Linked DNA regions of Drosophila melanogaster. The protein of the gene in region 2 interacts with the protein of the main gene of each other region in a pairwise test. Each region holds a gene or a part of one and is shown on either strand. Other genes may lie near its edges. The genes, in order: CG31600, BNIP3, tal-AA and CG32450.

Region 1 (5,359 bases), on a different chromosome or scaffold from region 2:
AAAGGATATTACACCATTTGGAGACTGGCCAGTTTAGGTAGGTTTTAGCGAAGTTTCACATTGCCTTAATATGCCTTGGGCTAAGTACGGGAACCTTTCTGGGACTACTCGCAATTAAATTTCGATTAGGTAGTTATCACCGAATAGTAACGTCACTCAGCTCAGACTTTATCTCCCTAGGGGATGCAAAAGGATAGACTTTGGTACCACGGTTTTCGGCTTCCATTCATATTTAATGGCATTGGATACCATTTTGGCAGAATATTCAGGGGTTTTTTGAATGTCCTTGTATGTTTTTCCTTCCTTTCTTAGCTTAAAAATTAACATTATTTTCTCCTGGGAGCAGTGCTGTCCTCTACCCACTAAAATAATTTTTTTTAAATTATTGCCCCTTTAAATACGCGAATTAACTTAACCAAACTCACTTTTTTTTAGAAAATATTTATAATTTCGGGACTTTACGTTGGTCAAAACCAGACACTGCTATTCTTATGAACAGTCTAAAACTTGTGATTTTGCTCAATGTAATGTAAAATGTAAATAAAAAAAGGATAACATGAAAAACTAGCCGTGTAGTGCGTAATAAGTGTACGTGTAAAAAAGAGTCGAGTCCGAAAAGGGACTTGGAAGAATACCTTTGTATTACTCAGTTTCCTTCGCACTGCTATTTTTCTGAACACAGCTACATATATTTTTAATCAAGATCAATAGCCGAGTCGATTTGGCCATGTCCGTCAGTCCGTATAAATGTCGAGATCTCAGGAACTATTAAAACGAGAAGTTCGAGATTCAGCATAAAGATTGTAGAAACAAAGACGCAGCGCAAGATCGTTGACCCATGTTGCCACGCCCACTCTAGCGCCCAGAAACGGCATAAAAATGCCACGCCCAAACTTTTGAAAAATGTGTTTATATTTTTTCACGTTTTTATTAGTCACTTATTAATATTGAACAATATTTCGATTTCCGAATCGGTCATTTTATTTCCCAATATCTATCGATATCCCAGAAAAATGATGCACTTTCGCGTTCGTATACACACTAGCTGAGTAACTAGTATCTCACAGTCGGGGAACTCGGTATATCCGAGCATTATCTCTTGTTTTTAAAATATCTCTTTAGCGGGGTATTAAATAATAAAGAAAATTCAATTTGTTTTAAATTAATAGAAAGCACTGTTCATACATCTACCTTAGGTCACGCCTTCGTTCATGCATTTTCCACAATTGATTTCCTGATATTATCTATATACATTTTTAAACCAAAAAAGACAATAAATTATAATTTGGAAAAGCAAACCGGTACATTTTCAGACCAATAATAACGGTATGGAATTGTCAAAAATGTGTACGTTTTGCTTAATGTGAATTGTTTTTCCATTCCGAAAGTTTATTTTGCCTTCTAATACTCACTTCCGTTTCCGCTGCACAAGACCAAAGTGTGTTTCCGCTACCCTATTACCACTCCATTCGCCATTTGAAACTTTTTTCGTACTCATCGAACGAATTATAACAAAACCAATTTTCCATGACAAAAAGACAACAGGAAAAAACCAAATTACAAATCAGACAATTAAATACTCATACTCAATACTCGCAAAATGTTTGACATTTATTAATTAAAAATAGGATAAACTGTATATTAATTTTATTCAAATTGTCATCGGCAATAAAAGACAGCTTATTTCAATTTATTTCTTTGTTCCATTTCGATTTGTCATCTACATATTGTATGCAATACAGTGGCATAGATTAAAACAATACAAACATTACAAGAAACTGCATTTAGTACTCAAGAATGGTTACATGGTAGTGTATAGAGTAGTAGTATTTGGTTAGGGTTAATAAGGCTAATGTTTCAAAATGTGTTTTTAACTAAATCTATTAGTACCGCAAGCCCGTGTGTAATAACTCTTTTATGTTTCCTTTCGCCGATCAAAGAAATACATTTCTTCAAAAGCGTTGCAGCAAGAATAAGTAAAATTACCAGTTCCACAAAAATAGCCAATCTGAGCTGCAAATGACTTATATGTTGTATCGGCATAAAAATGTTTTTAACAAAGTCACTGCAACCTTGGGTGATAAGGTCGGGATGGTAGCAGTGGGTTGGAACCCCTTGTAGATAATCCATATAAGAACGGGGACCCTCCAGTCCACAGCATAAAACCTGTGAAAAGCAAAACCCTTGAAAGGGCAAATGAGCAAAGGCATAACACATACCGCATTTTCAATCGAAGGCCAATCTGTCTCGTTAAAATTGGAGTATGCCAGCCATTTAAGGTTTAAGCTATCCATGAATGTACTATAGCTCCTGTTCATGGCTTCTAGTTGTTTTGAAATTGTGAAGTAAGTCCAATGAAGGACGAGTATCTGCAGCGGTATAAGCTAATTTACAATTATCAACCTCACGTTTTTTTTTTGGTAAAGTCCTTACCCCGAGAACAAGCCAATCATCACGCAAATTGGCTAAGTATAGGCTGACCAAATTCAGGCAAATGGTAATGGAAACGGTACTTGTTAGAAAATTAAAACAGTTAAGCACATTAATGGTTATTTCAGCGCTTTTAAGTCGCAGAGTAAAGGGTATAATTACTCGAAATAACACAGCCAATACAAGCTAAGTGTAGAAAAGTTGTCAGTAAAAACTTGAAGACGGGCTGCTGATTAAATACTTACCCCAAATAAAATAGCAGTTAGCTTTTTTATCATGCCCTCTACCATTTTGAGAATTATTTTAATATACGTAGCTCAATTTTATTCTACGCAAATTGACAAAATATTCGAAGCTGGAAATAATGGCCTACCACATAAATTCAAATTTTTGTTTTCCCAATTATGTATGTATACGAAATCACGCAGGTTTTTCTATTTGTGTTTCAATTCCTTTTTTCTGGCAAAATTTCATTGTTGATTTATGGGATTTGCTATTTTTGACAGTTGTTTTTGCTACAACGAATGAGAGTGTGTGCGATAACTGTTTGTAGGTATAAACATGATTTTATAATCGGCTTTCTATATTAATTTTAATTTTATTTTCGGCATTTTATTATAATTACTCTTGATATATGTAAATGGTCATCGTTAGCAAAATTATCATTCCGTATATGGCTGTATTGTTGCTGCACTTGATGTCCACATGGATGTCCCTCAACTCGTTAGGAAATTTACTACGCACTTTTTGTTGTGGGTTTTCAGTTCGCCAATGGGCCATGCGAAAAAATATTTCTGTGGCTTTAAATATTTTAATTGTCGCTGTTGGCTCTGTTCTGTTATTTCATAATCGTATGCTCTTTGTTGTAAGTCAAAAAGGGTGTAGTTCGAAATGCACAATAAAAATTGTAATATTTTGGCAAAATATTTATAATTATTAATGCTAATTTCAACAAATCCAATGCATTTCTGGCATTCTATTTGGACGATGGCTAAATACTTTGGTGTTTTGTATCTGTTTGTGATATTTTAATTTTACTGTCGCATTTGATCATAAATTAAGCGATTAACAAATAAGGGGCACCGTGGGTTATGGGTGCTCTTTTGAATTCCCTCGATGTGGCAATGGATGGAAGGGGCCAGTAAAACTATATTGCTTTTGATAAATGCCGATGGTTAGGACTCAGAGTGCGCCGCATTGAGCGGTTTAGTACTTAGTACTCAAGTGATATTAGAATTCCTGGTAGATTAAAAAAAATAACAAAATAATTGAAATATGAAAATGTGTCAGAAATGTTTCATTTAATCATATCCAATCGCGTTTGCCATTCAAATAAATCTCAAAATATATAAAAACAAATTTTTTACATTACAGTGAAGTTTTTGATAAGCCATGTTCGATACAACTAAATACTTTCCGCGTTCAGTTGATTCCGAGCATCCGTCCCAGTCGGAGCACAATGAGTCCTTGTCACTGGATCATGTCGTCACCTACGATATGGTCCATAACCCGGAGGGAAGATCACCTGATCACAGTGTCATCGAAATGACATCGGAAGCTGACCGGCATATAGGACACGATGTCACTTCATCTCCCCAATTGATGATTATATTTGAAGAAGGCGACATCAACAGTGCACTGCACTTTATTATTGAGTCGGTTCATAATCCCTTTGCCTCGAATGCGGTGGCCATGGTTCTGGTTGAAGAGAAAATTCGCGGGGAGATCGTCGAGCGAATCCTGTCTAAGCTACATCCTCTTAGTAAGTTTGTGGCCGAACATCCTAGCTATCTGGCAGCACTGGAGAAATGCCACACCTCCAACTTTAACATAATAAGGGCCTGCATTTCGGAGGTTGCCCCACCAATGGCTTCACCCATTTTTGTGTGTGACTGTACGCACGATAAGCTGGGAAGTTACCCAACTGGAGTAGTAACATTTCACACATTCCGCAATAACCAGGAGGCCATTGCCATAAGTCAGTGCGAATCGTTGGCCTTCGCATCCGTCTCCATTTGGAACGAAACGCTAACTGGATGCTACGATCTCGTGGCGGCCCTCAGCTCGTCCTATTTTTTTCTAAACTGCGCCAACGTTGACTTGTCGCCAATTTTAAAGCCACACAAGGCCCAGAAAAATTACGTGGTAGTTGAAAACGGCTTTCACTTCGAAACCCTACGTATCTATGACAATTTCAAAGCCATTGTATTTCCCATTGGCGGACAAATATTGCCAGACATCGAGGATCACAAGGAGGAGCACGCAGCTATCTTCTTTTTGGAAGCTTAGTATTGGAATGACTTCCACGACTTCCCCTTTCATCCGATTTCGCAAAAGTGCTTGGCAGATTCAAAATTTAAAGTTATTTTGGGTGTTTTTATGGTTATTAACGTTCATGATGCGTGCCAATATACAATGTAAGTGCAGCTGTCAGCGGTAATAACAATATTTCTTTTCTTCCGGATATTGACTTTTTGGGCGTCTTAATGAACGCAGGTTTTTTGTATATAGGTTGCGAATTAATTCGACACAGCGTGACTAACTGTGTATTCGATTTTTTTAAATTTTATTGGGACATTGAGAAATGGTAAAATGTTGGTCTGTTATCTTTTCGCTTAAATATTGTTTTGTTTATTCGTGCCGAACACTGTAAGAATGTTTTCTAGCTCTGCAGCCGATACTTATATTCAACTTGGCAATCTGATACTGGGCATGACCGAATAAATTTACGATCGCACAGCATTCCGGAGTCACCACAAGCATCTGCCCCATAAAATCATTTTCTTTATGGGAGTATGATGAGCGTATGAGTGACGCCAAGTCGTCGCTTTTGGGCACTTAAGGTCTGAATCCAAAAATAAAGCCCGCTCGTCAGTGTAATTATCAGTTTTGTGTGTTTTTCTGCCTTGGAATTTATTCCCCATAAATC
Region 2 (8,590 bases):
CCAGTACCTTTAGCTTCCAGTTGCGCATCGTGGGAGCTGCTGGACTGCCCCTAAATCCCGGCTATGGGAAATCGAAGAAGCAAGTAAAACGTCAGTCGGCAGCCAAGCGCTTCCCGCCCAACGAACCTCCCAACACCTATGTGACCTTCCAGGCCATCAGTTGCAATAGTCAGACCTATAAGTCGCACGAAGGATTGGTGTACGCCACACCAATTGTACCCAAATCGACGAAGCCCCAGTGGCTTAGCAAGTTCCGCGTGGACGTGAGTCGCGATTATCGCAGCAATGTATGATTTAAAAGGACCTTTTCTAAGAGATCACCTAAATACATTCCATTTTTCCTTTGCAGCCCCAGAAGCTTTTCATTCTGAAGCTTTGGAAAAAGGCGGTTGTTAGCCCAAATGGCATCACAGAGCCGTCTCCCCATGAAGATGCCATAATAGGATTCGCTGCACTTAATCTTAACCAAAAACAAGCGGGCGGAGGCTTTCCCAGCGGATGGCATAACATAGTAGACTTCAATGGACGTGTGACTGGGGGAATCGAGGCGCACGTGGAGCCCATATCGCCCAGTGTAGATACCGTAATCGATCAGTTCGAGAAGTCCATGGAACTGGGTCACTTGCAGTTGGGCCAGGCCATCAAGCGCAAATACACGGAGCTGGAGGAGATCTCGCAGAGATTGCGATCTCGGCTGGTGGATGTGACGGGGGAAACGCTGAAGTTCCCGGAATTCGATGTCGACTCCGCATTGGACAGTTGGCAACAGGAGGGAGATGACGATGATTTAGCGGAGGACTTTGAACGCTCCCTACGCACTCCCACGCCCCCTGGCTCGCCAACGCCCTCCACCAGCACCGCCGCACAAAATCTCAGAAACTCGAACGGTCAGGAATAGCCCAGGGCCAAAAGTCAGTTAAGAATGTTTTTTCCTCTCTCCACATCTCGATGTCGTCTCTGATATTGGCTCAAATGGTAGCTATAGTTAACCATCTAGATTTAGGCAATATATATATATATAATGCGCGGATCTTAATCTGATCTGATATTATGCTGTACTTAAATTGGCATCCCAGTTTTGCCTCGATTCACCGTCTTATGGCTGTCTATATAGCATAAAATCAAAGCTAGCAACGATCACCCAGCGATCGTTTCATTGAGTTACAAATCGTCGATTGAATATTGTTTTAAGTCACGAGGATTTTTCCCAGCAACCACACGGAATATGTATTAGTTTCGGAACTGTGTTAATCACCTAAGTATTTAGACACTATTACCTAATAAAACTTTAAATAAAATTACAATTGCTAAAGCAACTCAAAAACAGTTAGTTTATGCACTTTAAAGGGCGGCAGTTTAGTTCGTATCGATATTGCATTCGCTTGGCAATTGATAACAAGTCTAAATGATCAACTAACAAAATTAGTTGACTATTAGCACATTATGATGAAATTATCGCTTATACTGACTCACTGCTGATAATCTCAAAAAAATATTAATGGCGAAATGCAAATAGCGGGTTTTTCCCTTTATATACACAAAGGTAATCCAAGCCCTCACTTATGTGAAACAGTTTGATAATGCGAACAGGTACACGTCTAGCGATTTTCAAAACAACAGGCGACTTATTCAACAACAAGCACCGGGAATGCCTTTTAGACAAAAGGCATCTCAAAATACCTTGCAGCACTTCCCTGAAAATCCCTTTCATCTCACTAATCCGTCTTTCCAAGATTATAAAATTCTCAAAACTTTCTAAGCCATCTCTTGCAATTCCGTAAAACCCACCAAAGAAAAATGTTTGCAGATGCTCTTTTAAATAGATATTGAAAAATATTTTAATATAAAAAATCATTACAACTATTCTGTTTTTTTTGTGTGGGGGATAACCCTTCCCTCACATTAAAGATATAATCTTATGTGTGCCATATTGTTTTTTTTTCTCCTTTTGTATCGTTTTTCTTATATGCTTATTGTATCGAAACATTTGACGATTGTTCAACAAAAAGTACAATCAGGATACAATACGATTCAACTATAATATGTCTACAAATGTTTATGGTTGTTCTATATGATGTATGATGATGAAATTGAAATTCTTAACACGAAGTTCGGCGTACATTTGTATTGGATATAATGCACGGTTGGGTGCTAAGACATACGGCTAAAGCAAAATATATGGAGCATCTATAAATGCTTTTCTGTATCATTAGATTTGCTGCCTTGATATAATGTTAAATATATAAAATTATATAAAATATGAAAACGCTTAGTTTCAACCATTGCCCAAAGGCCTGTTTTAGTTTGCTGGCTTAGTAATTAGAAATTACATTTTTATAGGTATGTACTGAATGAGAAGGTGTCGAAAATATAGACTTCCGATAAAAATACAAATGAGTTGGAATACGGTTGGCTGTATAGATGTGTATACTTCGTTTTCTTATATGGAACGCATCGTGTTCTGTTTTCGATTGATGTGCATATTGATAGATTGAAAACGATTATATATATTTCCTCTTTCTCCTTTTTGTTTATGGCATCTTTCAGTCAATGACCACACGGGTAAGGAGTATGCCACGCTTGCTCAACCATAGCCTATAAATAAATACCATTACATGAAATGTGAATCTGGTGAAGATTGCTAGAGACCCTTACCCGAATCCAGCTCCCAGCAGCAGGGACAGGACGTTGGTCACCAGCAGCGAGTACAGAATTTCGCGGGAGAACAACGAGTTGGAGCCCAGTCGCTTCAAACGGATGGAGTAGCCTGTGTTAGTCTTCTTTTTCTCGCCCTCGTCGCCGGCATCCCGACTTGAATCCTCAATGTTCCAGCTACTGTAAATAATAATTCAATGAATGACCATTTGTGGTAAAAGGCCGCAATGCTCCAAACTTAGTTCTAGATTCTAGAAACTTAGCTAAATAAACTTTCATACCTGGGTGGCTGATTCCAGTTCTTCAGCCAATCTTCATTGCCTGCATTCTGTTTGTCTCCTCCCTGGCAAAAGCAAAAACAGAGACTGGCATTGTTAGCAAGATCACCTCGGTTCCGCCTCGATTCTCATCTCTTACCTTGGTCCAGTAGTTGATGTACACGTTTCTGAGCTCATCATCCGGACAGAGCTCCGACTGGGGACTGTTCGGTGGACTCTTGGGGCTATCACGGGGCGTATCACGACGGGAGCTGGCCAAGGAGACGACACGGCTCGACTGGTTCGACTCGCGCTGGGCCTCGCGCAGAAGTCTCAGGTACTCCTCGCCATTGTTGAATGGCAACGGAGTGATTCTGTCGGGGCTCTTGATGCCAGCCATCGCAGCTGTTGTGCTGAGTTCGATCCAAGATTCTGGAAAGTAGATCATTAGCATGATAGACTGGCGAACAAAGTGGGTGAAAGCTAAAGCCAAATGGGGTGAAATTAAATATTTAGTTGGTTGCATTTGGAGGTGGTTAAATATAGCACAGGCTCGAGGGTCGAAACCTTTTGGGGCGTGTTGAATAAACATGAGAAGTCCAAACACAGACGTGCGTTATGACGTTCTTTATTGAATTTATACAAACGAAAACGTTCTAGGTTCGTTAACAACAATTTTTAATTTAATTTTAGAAATTTTCATACAGAACATATCAATATTTTACGATGTTTAAGTTTTGAATGGTTTAACCCTATTTAACTGTTTATTTATGAAACAGTTTATTTATTTCTAAGCTGATAAACGTCAGTTTAAAGTAATCCCTTGTCTAAAATTACACTTGCTGACAAAATAAAGTAGTTTCACTTGTTTACTCAGAAAGGCGTGCAGTTTGAGAGCCACTGTGCGGCGGCAGCGGCTCTAAAAATGTGCCATCGTCACCCTTTCAGCGTTTGTCTTCGTTTTTGTTTACACGTAAAAACATTTTAACCATACATACGTTCGATTCGTTAGCCGGATCTGCAATGTATGTGCTTGTATATATCTGTTCGAGTGCTCGTGCCCCATTGATAACGCTAAAAACCCCACCACTCGCATAATTTCCGTTTCTTTTCGGCATACTGTGTATATAAAGCAGCACACATGTTTTGTTTATAGTCTATACAAGCCGATGCTTATCAATGCTCTACGGAGAAAATTTCATTTTCAAAACAAATCGAGAAAAAAGACAAACTGGCGATGCAATATGGGCACGAGAAGCGTGCAAGTTACTTGATAAGGAGTACAGTGTAGCGTTCCTAAAAACTACCTAATAATACAACCAACTGATTACATGTATACGCATATATATAATCACACATACGATCACACCCAACGCCTCTTATATCATCTATTATTCACTTTCTAATTAATTAAAATTAATTTTTTCTATAATTTTGTAATGTCACATTATAAATTTAAAATCTTCCTGGTATTGCTTTCTCTCGAGTTATCACTGTACAATCATCTAATTTAGACACTTTCGCGATGGAATCAGTTACAGAATAATTCAGATCACTCACGTGGCACACCAATCATGCTGACAATTGAATACTAAATGCATCGTCTAGACGAAAAGGATGATGCATTTATGATGGAAATGTTGCGAAAATAGAAAATGGAAATGCCCGTATGTCAGGTAGACGCAGAAGTTTTGCACAGGTAAACAATATTTGGAGCATTATCGGGAATCCGGGTTACAGGTACGAAAATGGAAACAAAAACAAAAGCAAAAGTGCACAGAAGGGTGGCAAAAACAAAAACAATGGCTTTGTGACTCACGGCACGTAGGCCTCTCTCCCTCTCTTTCGGCCAACCACCCTCCGTCTCTCTCTAACAATCACTCCCCCTCTCTCTCTCTCTTTCTACCCTACCCTCTTCGGGCTTTGTCGGGTGTGCATCTTGATGCGCAGCTGTCCAAAAGACCCTGAGTTGGGCCCATTGAACCGCCTTTATTATTGGATGGATGACTCCTCGGTATCATGATACGATTTCTTGCGTAGTATATGGCACAGTGCACAAAGAAAAAATGTTTCTCTAAGTTGGTCATTCATTTCGCACGTGTTTTAAGGTCAAGAAACAGATCAAGCCGGCGCATTACTTACACACTTATTTCATATACATATGTACATACTTAGCTTTAAAAGATTAATATCAGATTCATTCAAACGTATAGAAATACATATGAATAATATTTATATGCTATCATTGATAACGGAATTCCACATCCAAACTGTGTCAAACCTTTCAAAAGTGATGTATTTCATAACATATGGTTCGATTTGGGCTAAAACTGATTAGATTAATACTGCTTGGATGGTAGTAAATTGAAAAACAAATTTTTCGTCCGGCATTACTTTTGTGAGTGACTTTGCAGAATTGTAGTATAATTTCTGTGGTAGTCAACAACCTTTTCGACAAACAAACAAAGTGCTTTCAAGCAGTCAACCAAAAAGATTATACTTTATGTCAACAAAATATTTCAACATTTCGTGCAATTCCTAAGAAAATTTATTGAATATTGTCCATCATACGATTTTCATAAAATTAAGAGATTTTGAAAAACACATTCAAGTACGTTGATGAGTATAAATTTATATAACCTAGTTTTTCCGCGAGTGTAAACGTGGATGTTGATAAAGTGGGCAGCCGAAATACAATTGAAGCGAATATGCCAAAGGCGCAATTTCTGGAAACGACCGATAGGGAAATGCCCTCCCACAAAATGTATTTATTTACGAATTATTTTAGCAAGCCAGACGGAAGAAGAAGACCGGGTCGGGGAAATGGGGAGCGCAAAAAGTAAACCACAACTGACGTCAAGCGTGCTAAGTGCAAAGTAAAGGAACAAGACATGACATGAATGAAAGAGCGGAGGGAGAAAGAGTGCGTTGGCAGCTTCTTTGTCTTTGTTTTCATACGGAGTTTTGCGGATTCTTTGTTGTCTCTCTTTCTTTCTCGCCCCCTCTGCGGAGCAAGAACAAGTGCAAAGTAAACAAATAAAAGCAGAAAGAAATCAAAAAGCAGACAACGCAAAGCCTTGAAAAAATATGGGATGCGGATACTAACAAATTGCAAACAACTCCATAAATACATACACATGTCTAGATACTCTCGCAACAACAACAATGCGGCATAACGGGTTACCATGTTATTGTTATGATTGTAAAAAGGGGAGACGCAAAAAAACACGAATGAAAGAGCAAAGCAGACGAAAACAAACAACTTACCGCCCAGCAAATCTTCGCTCGATTTTGGTGTCGTAGACATTTTGTTTTTGTTTATCGGTATGTGTGTTCAACACGTCAACACCAAAGATAACTTGGGTTTATTGCTTATTATTAACTCGCTTTAAAGTTAAACTATTTCTATTATTCTTTCGTGAGTTTGACCAAGTTTTTTTTGGCCCTTCCGTATGTCTGCCTGTGTTTGTGTATTCGCTTTTGCTGTTTATGTATGCGTAGGAAAATGCGTTTTACTTTTCGTTTGGCGCTGTTTCTCCGCCGCTGCACTCGATTTGACTATAACTACTGGTTTCGGACTGAAGCCAACCGCTGGAGCTCCGAAATATTGCAACTTTGTTTAATGCTTCTCCCGAAGCGACTGTCTTGTAACTAAAATTAAACACGATTCGTTTCTACGCACAAGCTTAATGCGTAGTTTAAATCTTTTGTTGCTGTCCAGTGTGACCAGATGGAGAAACGGTAGCAATCCAGGTGCGTGTCTATGTTTTCCTACATCTGGCATCCCTTGTATCAAGTAAATTTATTGGTGGTTATTTTTAAAATGATAAAACTTGGTTTCTGTTGACTTTTGAAAATATATGCATATGCATATATGAATATGAAAAGTATATATACATTTACTTTTATTTTATTCTTATCTCGTTTTCAAAAACAAATCAAATGTTTCCAAATCACTTTTAGCCACATTTCGGACGAAATAAAAGTTATTGCCTTCCACTATAGTTTTTGGCGATATATACAGGTCTTTTTGCGGATCATATTGCGCTCTTCCAAGCAATTTCAGGAACTCATGACGTTCCCGCAGTCTAAATTCGCGTGAGGCCAAAAGCTCCGGGCACTGGACAATCTGGGCATGTGGAAGGCCCATATCCTGGTGAATGTAACTAAATCGCTCGACAAGATCATCCGGAGCTGCAAGGATAAGTTGTTTAATTACAAATGTCCTTAATTTTGAATGTAGATAGACTTACGAATCATCAAGAGGCGCGGCTTTCGTACCACCAGGTCACTTAGCTCCTTGGCATTGAATCCCATTTCCTCCTTAAGGGTGAACACAGACTTGCGGAGGTGTTCCATATTGTAGGTAATGGCATTGGGTTCTCTGGTGGCCAACAGTCGCAGATCATGACCACTCAATTTGAACTCCTTTTGGAAGTAACCCAATCGACGATCCACTCGCCTGGTGGAGAACATCAGCCAATAAGGATTCTGGGTGAGAATTCTTTGCCTGGCTTCGTCCGAGAATCTCTTGCTTTTTAGATAGTTCACTCTGGTCTGCAGATCGTCCAAGTCCTCCTTGAACAGCAGCGGGTTCTTGGTGAACATCCTGCCGAAGTCATCGGGTGATACGCCCTGATCCACCAGGAACGTTATGTAGGGCTTCACATTTTTCTCGAAATCCAGCTTCAGTACAAAGTCTCCCAATCCCTTTCGCCGTTCAATACTGTGCAGATCCACTCCCAAGCTGAGAAATTGCTGCAGGGTACTCGAGTTGTTCACATAGGCCGCCAAATTGAAGGAAGGCACATGGGCCTCCCGATTTCGGAAGTCCAGAGCCACTTCTTTGGAGCCTTCACATTCCGCAGGCTCGGTCTTCTTGTCATTCTGTTTGGTGGTTATACCCGGTGATGTTAACACTTCTACCTCATGGTGGACACTTTGTTGTCCTCGCAGATTTCGTATTTGTGAGGTAATTGTTGCGTTTTTAGCCGCATTTTGTGAATTCCTCAAAATGTTACGTAGAGCTGAACAAAACATGCTGGAGGCGTTGCCAGATGTCGCGAATGTGACCAGCAGTTGGCTGCCAAAGTTTCTAAATATGGCATGCTAGCTAGAAAAAGCTAAAATTATATTTTGAATATGATTTTGATATAAAAACATATTTGTTTTTAAATGGATATTCTTGAACAAAAATGCACTACTAATATCTGATTTCTTTAGTTTTTTTATGAAGATATATATAAAATTGCAAATTGTTGGTATAATTTTTAATCGGACGGTATATGTTAACGGTTACCACCACGGTCACACTAGGTATGATCTTGGATTTATTTTGGTGTGAAAATTCCGGAGCATAAAAACAGAAGAGACCCTTGTATGTGCAAAACCCCCCGAGAGGAGTGCCGGTAATTCCAAGTCAGCCACCTGTTGAACATTATTCAATCGCCGCATAATGGACAAGTTGCGCCGCGTTCTGAGTGGAGATGAGCCCACTCCGGAGGAGGAGAGCAGTATCATTACGCAGGTGAAGAAATTTTCTAATGGTACAGATCTCATTAGATCCCTTAACATATTCTGGCTGGAGGAATTATGATTATGGCGTGGCTTAGGAGCTAGCCGCTGGCAACGCCCCGCGATCACATGGCGCCCCAAGCCGTGTGACCCAACGCTTATCA
Region 3 (5,616 bases), on a different chromosome or scaffold from region 2:
CGAGATTCCAGAATATTTTTGCTTCAGGATTCATTTTACAGGGTATTCAGAGTTTCGCCCATCTTTCTTCGCCCGTGACTTGTGCTGGCTGCTTTTTTTTTTTGGTTGAACATGAGTTGGCTTATACACATTCTGTGGCTGAAAGCGATATTCATTCATATCGGCGACAACAAGTTAACTGGGTCACCGCGTGTGTGGGTTCCTGGGAAGATCTGATTGCAGGCGGGTCAATCGAATCAGATTGAATGGAATGGAGTCCCGAGCTGGACAAGACGATCCGCCCAATTGCATTTTCAGTTCGAATCACTCGATTGAGTGGGAAAGCTTTCCGTTAGGCGACGTCATCAGCGCCGGCCGCGCAGCAACCTTGGCGATCAGCTGTTCGTAGCGAGTGGATTTCCCTGAACTTCATACTGATACTGAAAAGCTAGTGCGCGCGTGTCTATTAATAGTCTCTCTCGTTTTCCACCGCTCTCTGGCGAAAGAGTTAAACTGCCTCTTCGGCGGGAACTTCCTGCTGGAAAAACCTGCTGGCTGAGAGCGTGAAAAGCTCTGTGCTCTCTTAAGTGGAAATCTGCGAGCTAGCGCTCTCTCTGCCCCTCTCTCAGAATCACAAGTTCTCGGCTGTAGTTGTTATGCTATTATTGACCTAATCACTTGTGGAGCACAAACGAACATTGAACTTTTACTTCCGCATCAGCGTTGCCCGATCAAGATTCGCTCTTTCGATTGTCCGGATAATATTTTTGCATTGGGAAATGCGTTTTCATTACCCCCCCCCCTCGGTGTTTTTCCATTTTTATTGATCATTTCCAGGCCGCTTGGCCGCCGGCGACCGCCCAGTGACATTAATTAATGCCCACAGATTCATCAAATATGCGCTGGCCGTTTGGAAAATCATATTTTATGCTCACCCGACAGCAATTTGTCCGCGGCGGAGCCCCCAGAGATCTAACTCAGTGTGTGTGTGTGTGTGTATGTGTGTGGGCATGTATCTCTGTGTATCTGGAAAATCTTGTAATTTAATGCGACAATTTTTTGCTGCTCGCTGGTCCATCCATACACCCATCGATCGATGGAAAAAGGAAAAAATGCACTCAAAATGTTCAGTTTTAAATATGGTTTTCTTTTAATATTATATTTAAATGGGTGTGAGAGGTGTGTGTTGGGGTTCTCTGGATGTCGGTCGAAGGTGTAGACATATAAATAGCTTAAAAACGCTTATGATCTAAACAAAATTTCTCGCTCTCCGAATGGTTTTCCTTGCTCTCAGCGAGAGAGAGAAAAAAAGAACATTACAAATCGTTGGCAATAAATAAATGATAATTTAAACAAACGATGATTTGCTCGGGAAATATGACACTAAACATAATACTCTTTGCGTAATCTTTTCCAATTTGAAGAAGCAATTACAAGTGTATAGTATATATATATAACATATATGGTGTATGTGTGATACAATATAGGATATAGGATATGTATGTGTGCGTATCGGTGTTTTGTGAACAGCAATGAACAGTATTTAATTTAAATAGTATGATAATAATAAATAATTAATATAATAGGTATTGATAGGCTACGCAAAAACTACATAAATACAAAAGTCTCCATCGCAGGGCTCCCCAAGATCGCTTGGGGAAGCCCCGATCCCCAGCTTTCTTCTCCGCCGGCAGCTGGAAGTCTCCTCGCGGCCACGAACGCGCAACCAGCGCGCTCCCCCAATCATGCCCAGAGTTTGTGGATAAGGCACGGGCGTTATGGGGCACTGTTGTTGGGATATCAGCGTCTAGTACTGCCCGGTTGGATCCAGGCAGTCCTGTCGCCTCTTTTGGCGGGAGTCCTGCGTGTCGCGTGGTCGCCGGTATGTTCCAGTGGGATCCAGCATTTTTAAGGATTGTATTTGTGGAGCTTTTGAAGTGGGTATAGTATTCAGCCTTAGAATGCTTGGCTATGTGGAGTTCTTGCGATAGAACCTTAGTAGGTGCCAGTGGGGTCCAAATCGTGCGACATTTTGATACTGTTTTAAATAACTTTCGGCTTGGAACTCAAAATATTGCTGCTTCTGCTTGCTTGCTCCAACTTCAGTACTGACCAGTGGGATCCAGATAGGCGGCCATGGCGAAGATCTGTGATTTATTGGATTTTCTAAAAGAGGTCTACGATTACGATGTCTTGCTGTCGTCGTGTAGCTTCTTTAGTACTGGCCAGTGGGATCCAAGTAGGCTGCCATTTCGTATGCCGTGTATTGACCAAAAATACTTGAATGACAAAACCGAGCTGGCTTTTTGTTTCTGCTGCTGCTGCTGCTGTCGATTCTCCTTTGTTTAATTTGAATCAGCGCGGTATTGAACTTTATACTGGTTCTCGGCGCTGTTGTTGTAAGTTCTTTTATTATCACCACCAGTTGTTGGGTTTCTTGGGGCTGAATATACAGTCACGTTTGGTTGTGTGTTTGGGAATTTTTTCGTGCGTTCAAAAGTCACTGACACTACAAATTCGTTTATTGTTTGTTAATAATGTTTAGTTTGTTCGGGAACCGCACGGAAAATCTTTAAGGCGTTACGTGAATATCTGCGGACTTTTCTGATGTCTCAGCTGGTTTTCTTTTAGCTGGTGATCTGCACTCGTCGAATGTTGTCGATCTTTTGATTTGATTTTCGTCAAGTCGTAAGCTTAAATGCTCGACCGGCTCGACGTCGCTGCCGGCGTCGCTGTCGAGTGCTCCAAGAGCGGGAGCGAGTGCAAAAGAGCACGATATACGGCAGGTGCGCCGCGCTCTTAATGGCACCATTCTCTTAGGCGAGTGGGTGAGAGCGAGTGGGGAGATGATCACGATCGTATTTTCATTCATTTCCAGGTAGAGCATTTCTCGCTTTCGCTCTCTCTCTCTCCGCTCTCGCTCCCTCTCTCTCGCTCTGCTCACACCCACCTGGATTTCATTCACCAAACAGCTGTTTCTGATCGAGTGGCCTCGTTCTGCTCACACGTGTGTGAGGATCTTGTGTGTATGTGTGCGTTGGAGGAGCTCAGGTAAGAACTATCCTGGAATTCCATTGGTCCTTAGATTCTCAGACTGCGATCCTGAGGCAACAGACTCCACCTTCTTTTAAGGCCCGCAGCTAATTAAGGTATATTTTATTGCCAAATTTCGTATATTCCGGGCAAAGTGCACTCGAAAAAATGGTGTTCAAAGTAGGACAATAGTCTTTTCTTCCAAATGAACGAAGATTTTCAAGAAATGTGGGAAATTTGTTTTTTAATTGAAATGATCTTTACATTTAGAGACTAAAGAATTAATAAATACATTTGGAAAACCAAAGAATTAAGTCATACTTGTATTACAATTTCCGAGATTTCCAAAAGATAAACGATAAAGCAACAATGCATATAAAATGAAGTTCTTTAACTATGAACATATCTGCCGTACTTGCTTAGAACAACATGTCTTCAATAAAAGATTACAATAGTAAAAAATCGTTGTAACAGCATGAAAACTACAAAGATTTTGTTTGGTCACAGGTCTAAGTAAGGTTGTATATATATATCCACAGTGCAAATATCCATTAATATACCATTCCAAGTGCAAATGAGGGAATATAGATGTTAACCCCAGATTGTGGCTGTCGCCGCTTAGTCAAACAGAGACGACAAGCCGAAGATCCTTGCCAAAATGCTAATATCCTTATGTGCCATAAGTCCCAAATTAATGGTCTTTGAGCCGGCGGCGCGACGGCCACTGCCCACTTTACGTGACATTTGTGGTAGCCTAAGCCGGGCCAACTCGAAGGCTGAGGACTCAAAGGGCTTAGGCCGCAACTGCCGACTCATAAAAAGGATAAACGCTCGGCATGAGTCAGCAGTCAGTCGGTGCTGGACGACCCACCGAAACGACGGGTGCTTCCGCGAAATGCGACACCGGAGGCAGGTCCACTCACAAAGGCCACTGGGATGCGACAAAAAGTAATAATGAGATACTGCGCCGAGGTGTTGCAGAATTTCTCGATCTTTCACATATTTTTAAACCCAAATTTGCTCGTTGTCCAAGTCAGCTGGTGAGGCCGGGAGCAGCAGGCGAGGATTACAAGGTGTGTCATCTGCCGCACAATAGGAAATATAAATCCTTTCGTTTTATTACAGCGACGTAAAAAACTCACAACTAAAAGGGGCACTTCCGGCACACTACGAAGTATTCGAGTGGAGGACGACTGCTTGCCACGAGCGGGGGATGGAACCCTTTGGCACGGGCCCGGAATCAAGGATTCCATTCCGGAGACGGGAAGATATTCGCCGCCTGTAAGATGATCGCCACACCCTTTTGGCACGGGTTCGAGTGGAAATGAAATCAGATTGAGACCTTGAAATCAGATTGATCAGATGAAAGCATATCGAATCCAATACCATTCAATTGGGCCTCACATATAAATAAGAACGACTCCTTTATTTAGTTTAGATTTAAATCGCGAACTAATTTTATTATTTGTATACTAGAGACAAAGGGGTACTTCGAGTGTATGTTATTTAAAGTTTTCAAAGAATCATGCACTTGGGAGTTAAATACTACTGTGATCCTGTATTCTTTACTTAAAGTCAGGGAACTACATCTGAAATGAAACCCCATAGCTGTCCATTAACCTAATGCTCCCTGGGTCATTCAGCTTGGAGTTCTTTTGCCGTTAGCTTGTTTGATTTACCTGGCGTGGGATCGGGATCCCCAAAACCGAAATTTACCTTTTTAAGTGATGCACCGGATGCGCATCATCCTCGCTGCATTTTGGCGCTTCCGCTTCTGGGTTTTCACTTTCCAAATGGTTTTTGCTTTTTTTTTATTCACGAATTTCGTTATGCATCGTTTGGGCCCGAGTTTCCCTTTCCGCTTTGCACCTTTTGTTTTCCCAAAATGCGCCACGTGCCACATCCAACATTTGTTGGCACAACTGTCAGTCGGTGAGTTTTCCCCCTCGATCACTTTCCCTGCCGCATTTGCCTTGTAATTCGATCAATTTAATATATATTTTTTTCCGAGGTGCCCAGGACGGCTGCTACTGCGGTTTTCTTGGGTTTTCCTTTTTGCCGACTTATGCAATGTTTGCCAAGGGGCCCAGACTTCGAGAAAAACCTCCAAACGGTCTTGGAGATTTTTTAAAAATTTGGGTCAATGTTCGTTGTTTATTTCGGTTTGTGCACATTTAACAGTATTTTCCGCTGACTTTTCTTGCTCTTGGACTTGGCCATGCAATGTTGCAGTTTTGTGTATTTTTTTCGATTTCTTTGCTATTCATAAATTGCCATTGCAATGGCAGAAACTTGTTATTGTTGCTGTTGTTAGTTGCTGCCGCGTTGACAGTTTGAACACTCGTGCTTTTGGCCCAAAACTTGCTCGGCTAGCAAATGCTAAGCGGTAACTTCTCTATTGGCCTGGCCAACCCACCTAAGTCGCTTAAGTCGCTTAACACTCTTGATTGGCCAGAAGGTAACGGTAAGCACTTGGTCCACTTGACCCAAATTGGCCAGAAAATTGGAAGCCGGTAATCGTTTCTTGGAAAGCCAAGATGCTAACGATTACCAATGCTAAAACATTTTCTGCATTTAAGTCGACAGATTTGATTGTTATCTCTA
Region 4 (4,957 bases), 1.8 Mb from region 2:
GTTGTCGTTAACGTTTTGTTTATATTTGCTTAAATGTGCGGCGCATACTCATAATTAGCATGCATGTGTGCGTCTGTGTCTGTGTCCGTGTTCGTGTCAGTAAGGCATTGCAATGCCGAGCTGTCTATGTGTGTGTGTGCTGGCATTGCAATTTGCTTTTGTTTGGTTTAAAAAGCGCGTTAAATTTGATCGTTGTTGCCGGCGGCTTTGTTTGCGCTCTCATTTGCCGCTGAAAGTGCGAACGAGTTAAAGCACCATCTAACGCACAACGGCCACCCTTCATTATCTCGTATCTCAGGCCCATAAAGCCCCAATATCAGCCCTGATTTTCAATACTAGCACTCACCCGAGGGGACAGAGTCATAAAATTGCGTATACGTACCTAAAAGGAGACAAGAAAAGGTTGTTAATTTAGTAAGCAAGTCGGCAGGATGAGACGGAAGCGAGATACGTTTGGGAAGACGTCCGGTATACTGCCAGTGACAACGCCTAAGTGGGGCTTAAAAATTCAATAAAAAATCACTTAACATTCCATAAGAAGCTTTCAACGTTACACACACAGCCGTACAACCATAGGGAGAAAGTGGCGGAGCAAACGGAAGGGAAAGTGGCCTCAAATGTGCTGTCAAATCCTGCACACTGCGAGAGTGGCAAAACTGCAGGAAACTAAAGCAATTCCAAATGGAAAACTGCTGCAAATTAATCAAATGCCTTTGCAGTACGGAATGGAAAGAGCGAGAGGAAAACGGTCAAAGGACAGGACTGGCAAGCAAACACGAGAACGTCAGTCAGTCAGTCAGCCAGTCACAAAGACACAGGCGAGCGATAAAAGCCAAAGCCAAAGGCAAGCAACCCTTTTTCCGAATCGAAACCAAACCAACCCAGCCCAACCCTTCAATCTGCACACACACTAGGGTTGTATATACTTATATATCGTAACGCATTAAATCGATAACACGATTTTTCAGCACGCACACAGCTCCCCGTCGAACCCGTACTGAAATCCAAAACAACTGGTTGACTGTGAGTTAAATTGTCAGTTTCATTACGTGGCAGCTTTCATAGCGTCTTTTGCTGTCTGCTTCCTGCCCCGGAACTCCGGAATGTTCCTTGCTTTTTTAAAGCCAAATCACTACGACTGCGCGTGAGCGTTCCCCGTCACTTCGCTTGCAGTGCGACAAGCGATTTTTCAAGTTGCCGCTTCATCGTTCTGCGGAGCTGCTTCTCCGTCTTTTTTGTTCGGTGCGGTTTCGGGGCTCTGCGTTCTGGGCGCCAACAAGTTCAATTTTCGGAAAAGGGCAGGAGCGCATCGAGAGCGGAGAAGCGAAGCCCCTGGGACTCCTCGAAACCGGCGAGTCGTGCGTTCTTGAGAACTTAAGGACCTCGACGCTGGTGAGTTCAACAAACATTTAACTGATTGCCTGGCGTGTCTTCGTGCCCAGCCCTGTCTGATTTTTTGATTTGCTATACACCTGGGAGCGGGACGGCCCTTGGCCACGAAAATGTTTAGCTTATTTGTTAGCGCTGCAAAATAAATTGTGTGTGCGTGCGGTAATTGTAAATTGCGTACGGGCAGACAGACAGTGGCGATTGTCAGTGGAGCAGCCGAGTTATTGGCACCTCTCCAACGTACGGGTATGCCATGAATTTTTGATCGAACAATGAGTGGATCGAGGGTTGCCACCTTTTGCCAATACGATGAGGTTGGCGAAGGCAGCAACAAACTAGGCTTTTGATTGCAAGTCCCCATCCCCATCCAATCCAATCTCGTTCCGTACGCCCCCAGCTAAGCCAATTCAATCAGGGGACCTGCCTGCAACCCTCTGAGTAATCCACTTTTGGCCTCCCGAAAGTGCGCAACAATTTCTTTTAAACTTCCTGCTGACACAAATCAGACCGAGGCCATAACTCAAACTATCTCCACCTCCGCTCGGCTGAATCAATAACCATAAACCGAAGCTCCTTATGCTCACGTGGAGGAGCCGCATAAAAAGTATGCCACATGCTCGGGGAAATCACTAAATTCAGCCTGAGGCAACGTGTACCTCATCATTTATGTGTGGCAGGGGCAAGAAACGGCGAGCCCGAAAACCAAGCAATGCCCACCTTCATAACTGAGAGTGCTTATCACGCCCACTTCCCCTTGATCCCCTCCTGCCGATACCGCCAACTACCGAGTACCGACTACCGTCTACATGTGACATTTGCATGCTTACTTAAACAGCAAAAAGCAGCATCTACGACAGCCACGTCGAGCTTGGCACGTCTGCGTCAACTATACTTTACATTTCGGCCAGACTGGTTTCGGTTTCGGTCTTGGTCTGAACCAGATGCTCAGTTGGAGTCTAGGACCCAGAAGGCCAAAAGAAGGAGAAGGCCCACTAGTGTTGTCAGTAGGCAGTCACAATCCTGTCGACGTCACATCAGCACACGTGTGTAGTAAAAATCAGACGTGTGGGCGCTGCTCGAGGAGCACACAGGCCTTGGCAATGTCGAGGCGCTCTAGTTGCCGCAGTCGATTCGAGTCGAGTCCTGCCTAGTCCTGCCTCCATGTACTTTGATTGCTTGCACGTTACCCGTACAATTTTCGGTATGATGGCGGCAACATTTCATGATTTCTTGTACGTGTTTCTGGCAGTAAGCACGCGTCCTTTCCTCTGCCGCGCACACCGTGTCCTGCGACCCTGGTCCTTCGCCCCACATCTATTCCGGCTCATGGGTTCCGGGGTAATGTATGCAAGCACTTTTTGTATATGACGCCGTTGCGCTTTGGGTCCTCGTCGTGTTTGTTTGCCTGGTGACTGATGATGGTTTGGCTGGTTTTGCTCAGCTCCCACTTTAGCTTCATTTTCCACCGCCACTTCTGTCGCTAGTTTTTCACCAGCAGCATCGATTCGAGCGTATGTCCTGCTAATAAATCAATGACGCCATTCCGGGGCTCCCAAGTAGGCGATGATTTATGTCTGGCTAAAGGGTTTTCACGAATACCGGGCCTAATTGAGTTGCCCTTGATGGATCAGTCATTTTTAGAGTGCTGCTTGTCCAGTACCAAGTAGAAGTCGCTTTAGAACAATCTAAAATTCGACGTTGCTGTTTTTTTTGGTTTAACATTCTCTATATACATTTTTTTAAAAATATGGATATAACGGTACCGCCGCCGGACTCGCACTGGTCGTTGAGGTTTGTGGACATCGTGAAGCCTTTTCCAAAACATACTTTGGCCAATGCCACTTATAAGATCATTCGCTTCTTTTACCCACCCTTTGCCCTGGAAACCGTCGATGTCACCCACGTGGTCAGCGATCCCGAGCTGAATAGTTTAAACGTGGGGCTGTTTGTGGTAGTTCCCTTAATTCTGGCCTGCATCGGCTATGGGGTGTACAAATATGTGCGGAGTATGGTAAGTTTTGTGCGTGGACCTATAGCCCCTGACCTCTGACCAAGTCTGACCTCGAGCAGCATACAGTGGCTAAACGGACACCATTAAAATTGTACGAGCTTGAACAGCGTATGAAAGACAAGTACGGTCCGGAATACAAGCAGGGAATCTGGAAGCGAAAGGACATTTCTGACCCCCTCCTATTAACCACTGATCCATCCGAACCAAAAGCAAAGAGATGTGAAAGCAGCAATGCCCACTGGCTGCGCAAAACCGATAGATCCGATGATTAATTAAATCAACACTCAGTTGGATCCCCACTCGGATATGACTGGGGATCTTAAAATCGAGAATCGAGGAAAGTACCTTCTCGAATCCAACCAGGCTTTGTACCCTTCTAAGCAACAAAATCGATATGATCCTTCAATTCCGTTTAATGATTGAGACCTTTTTTGCGACTGGAAAAGTGTCAGCTTTGGGCTTTCTCGTTTGGCGCAATAAAATGAAGTGATTGTTTGGTTTTTTATGTTGCAAAAACACACTGAACCCCGCAGAGCGAAGGGAAAGACATTGCACATAGGATTAGGTGGGGGTTTTGGGGCCAAGTCCTGGGTAATCATTTGGCAGCGCATGTGTCGGATTATTTTGTTGGTTTGCGTTTTATTTAAATTTGCTTCTTTCGGCTGCCTTTTTGCTCGTGCGGTGGTTGTTTGTCGCCCGAAAATCTGACAGCAGCTGAAAAGCATGCTAAGCTTCGTGCTTTCTTTTTGCTCTGGCTCAAAGCAAATTAATGATTTGCCATCAAGCAAATAAATCAAAAGCTTCAAAGCAGATCTCTGGCTTAGCGCGCTGCGCTGTGGTGCGGTGCGATGGGATCCTGGGGCTGGCTGCGATTTAAGTCCCTTTCATCTCGGCCTGCTCCACTTTAAAGCCAGTCCCGAATGCATAGTTTTATTTCGCAGCTATTTCCACTCAACTAAGCGCATGCATTGATGATATATCCCCTTCCGTGTGACACCCCTTCCCATTGACATGACATAAATAACCGTGTGAGGCTGTTATAATTTATAATCCTTGCTCTGGACCCCCAGCAACAATAATACCAACAACAACAACAACAACAACAACAACAACAACAGCAACAACAACAACAACAACAGCAGCAGCAGCAACAAGAACAAACACAGCAACAGGAGCAGGAGTAACAAGAGCAGAAATAATATGGGAATGCCAGTGCAAATATTTTTGCTTGCTCCTCTCGGTTTCTATGATCCGAGTTTCCTTTTACTTTTTTGTCCTATTTTATTTATTCGAAACCTGTGCCTCTCCCAGGTTGGCAGCACAAATATTTTGTTGGTTCCCTTCCGAGCCACCCAGCCACTATTTCACACCCGCTCGGCTGCATTTAGTTTATGTGTGTGTTACCTTTTTTCTCGGTAAAATGAGGTCAAAAGTTTATTGGCTAATAAATGTGTGCGCAAGTGGGTGGGGTGTTGTTTTCGCAGGCATTAATGTCAGGCGCAAACTGCAGAGGCTGCAAAGTTTTTGGCAGAGCTTTAATGCCGATAAACAAATTGC

Evidence for each region.
Region 1: the proteins of BNIP3 (region 2) and CG31600 interact in a two-hybrid assay, tested with the Drosophila melanogaster proteins (one large-scale study listed by BioGRID).
Region 3: the proteins of BNIP3 (region 2) and tal-AA interact in a two-hybrid assay, tested with the Drosophila melanogaster proteins (one large-scale study listed by BioGRID).
Region 4: the proteins of BNIP3 (region 2) and CG32450 interact in a two-hybrid assay, tested with the Drosophila melanogaster proteins (one large-scale study listed by BioGRID).

Annotation. Positions count from the first base shown.
Region 1 is NT_033779.5:21,912,583-21,917,941, forward strand, and holds CG31600 (uncharacterized protein), read right to left. Parts: upstream 2,777-5,359; 5' UTR 2,721-2,776; coding exon 2,676-2,720; intron 2,617-2,675; coding exon 2,434-2,616; intron 2,385-2,433; coding exon 2,220-2,384; intron 2,167-2,219; coding exon 1,858-2,166; 3' UTR 1,687-1,857; downstream 1-1,686. Other genes in the region: CG11634 (uncharacterized protein), read left to right, coding at 3,823-4,719.
Region 2 is NT_037436.4:20,512,789-20,521,378, forward strand, and holds BNIP3 (BNIP3), read right to left. Parts: upstream 6,606-8,590; 5' UTR 6,220-6,605; coding exon 6,180-6,219; intron 4,517-6,179; exon of another isoform or gene 4,489-4,516; coding exon of another isoform or gene 4,473-4,488; exon of another isoform or gene 3,911-4,472; intron 3,345-3,910; coding exon 3,073-3,344; intron 2,999-3,072; coding exon 2,937-2,998; intron 2,836-2,936; coding exon 2,656-2,835; intron 2,596-2,655; coding exon 2,544-2,595; 3' UTR 1,811-2,543; downstream 1-1,810. Other genes in the region: CG32425 (uncharacterized protein), read left to right, coding at 1-287, 350-898; mTerf3 (mitochondrial transcription termination factor 3), read right to left, coding at 6,829-7,106, 7,166-7,952; CG5104 (uncharacterized protein), read left to right, coding at 8,368-8,439.
Region 3 is NT_033777.3:13,810,140-13,815,755, reverse strand, and holds tal-AA (tarsal-less AA), read right to left. Parts: upstream 2,648-5,616; 5' UTR 2,231-2,647; coding exon of another isoform or gene 2,195-2,230; 5' UTR 2,118-2,194; coding exon of another isoform or gene 2,082-2,117; 5' UTR 2,011-2,081; coding exon of another isoform or gene 1,975-2,010; 5' UTR 1,886-1,974; coding exon 1,787-1,885; 3' UTR 1,108-1,786; downstream 1-1,107. UniProt on the Drosophila melanogaster protein: One of four peptides (tal-1A, tal-2A, tal-3A and tal-AA) produced from a polycistronic gene that function redundantly in several developmental processes.
Region 4 is NT_037436.4:22,326,758-22,331,714, forward strand, and holds CG32450 (uncharacterized protein), read left to right. Parts: upstream 1-3,020; 5' UTR 3,021-3,136; coding exon 3,137-3,400; intron 3,401-3,459; coding exon 3,460-3,672; 3' UTR 3,673-3,900; downstream 3,901-4,957.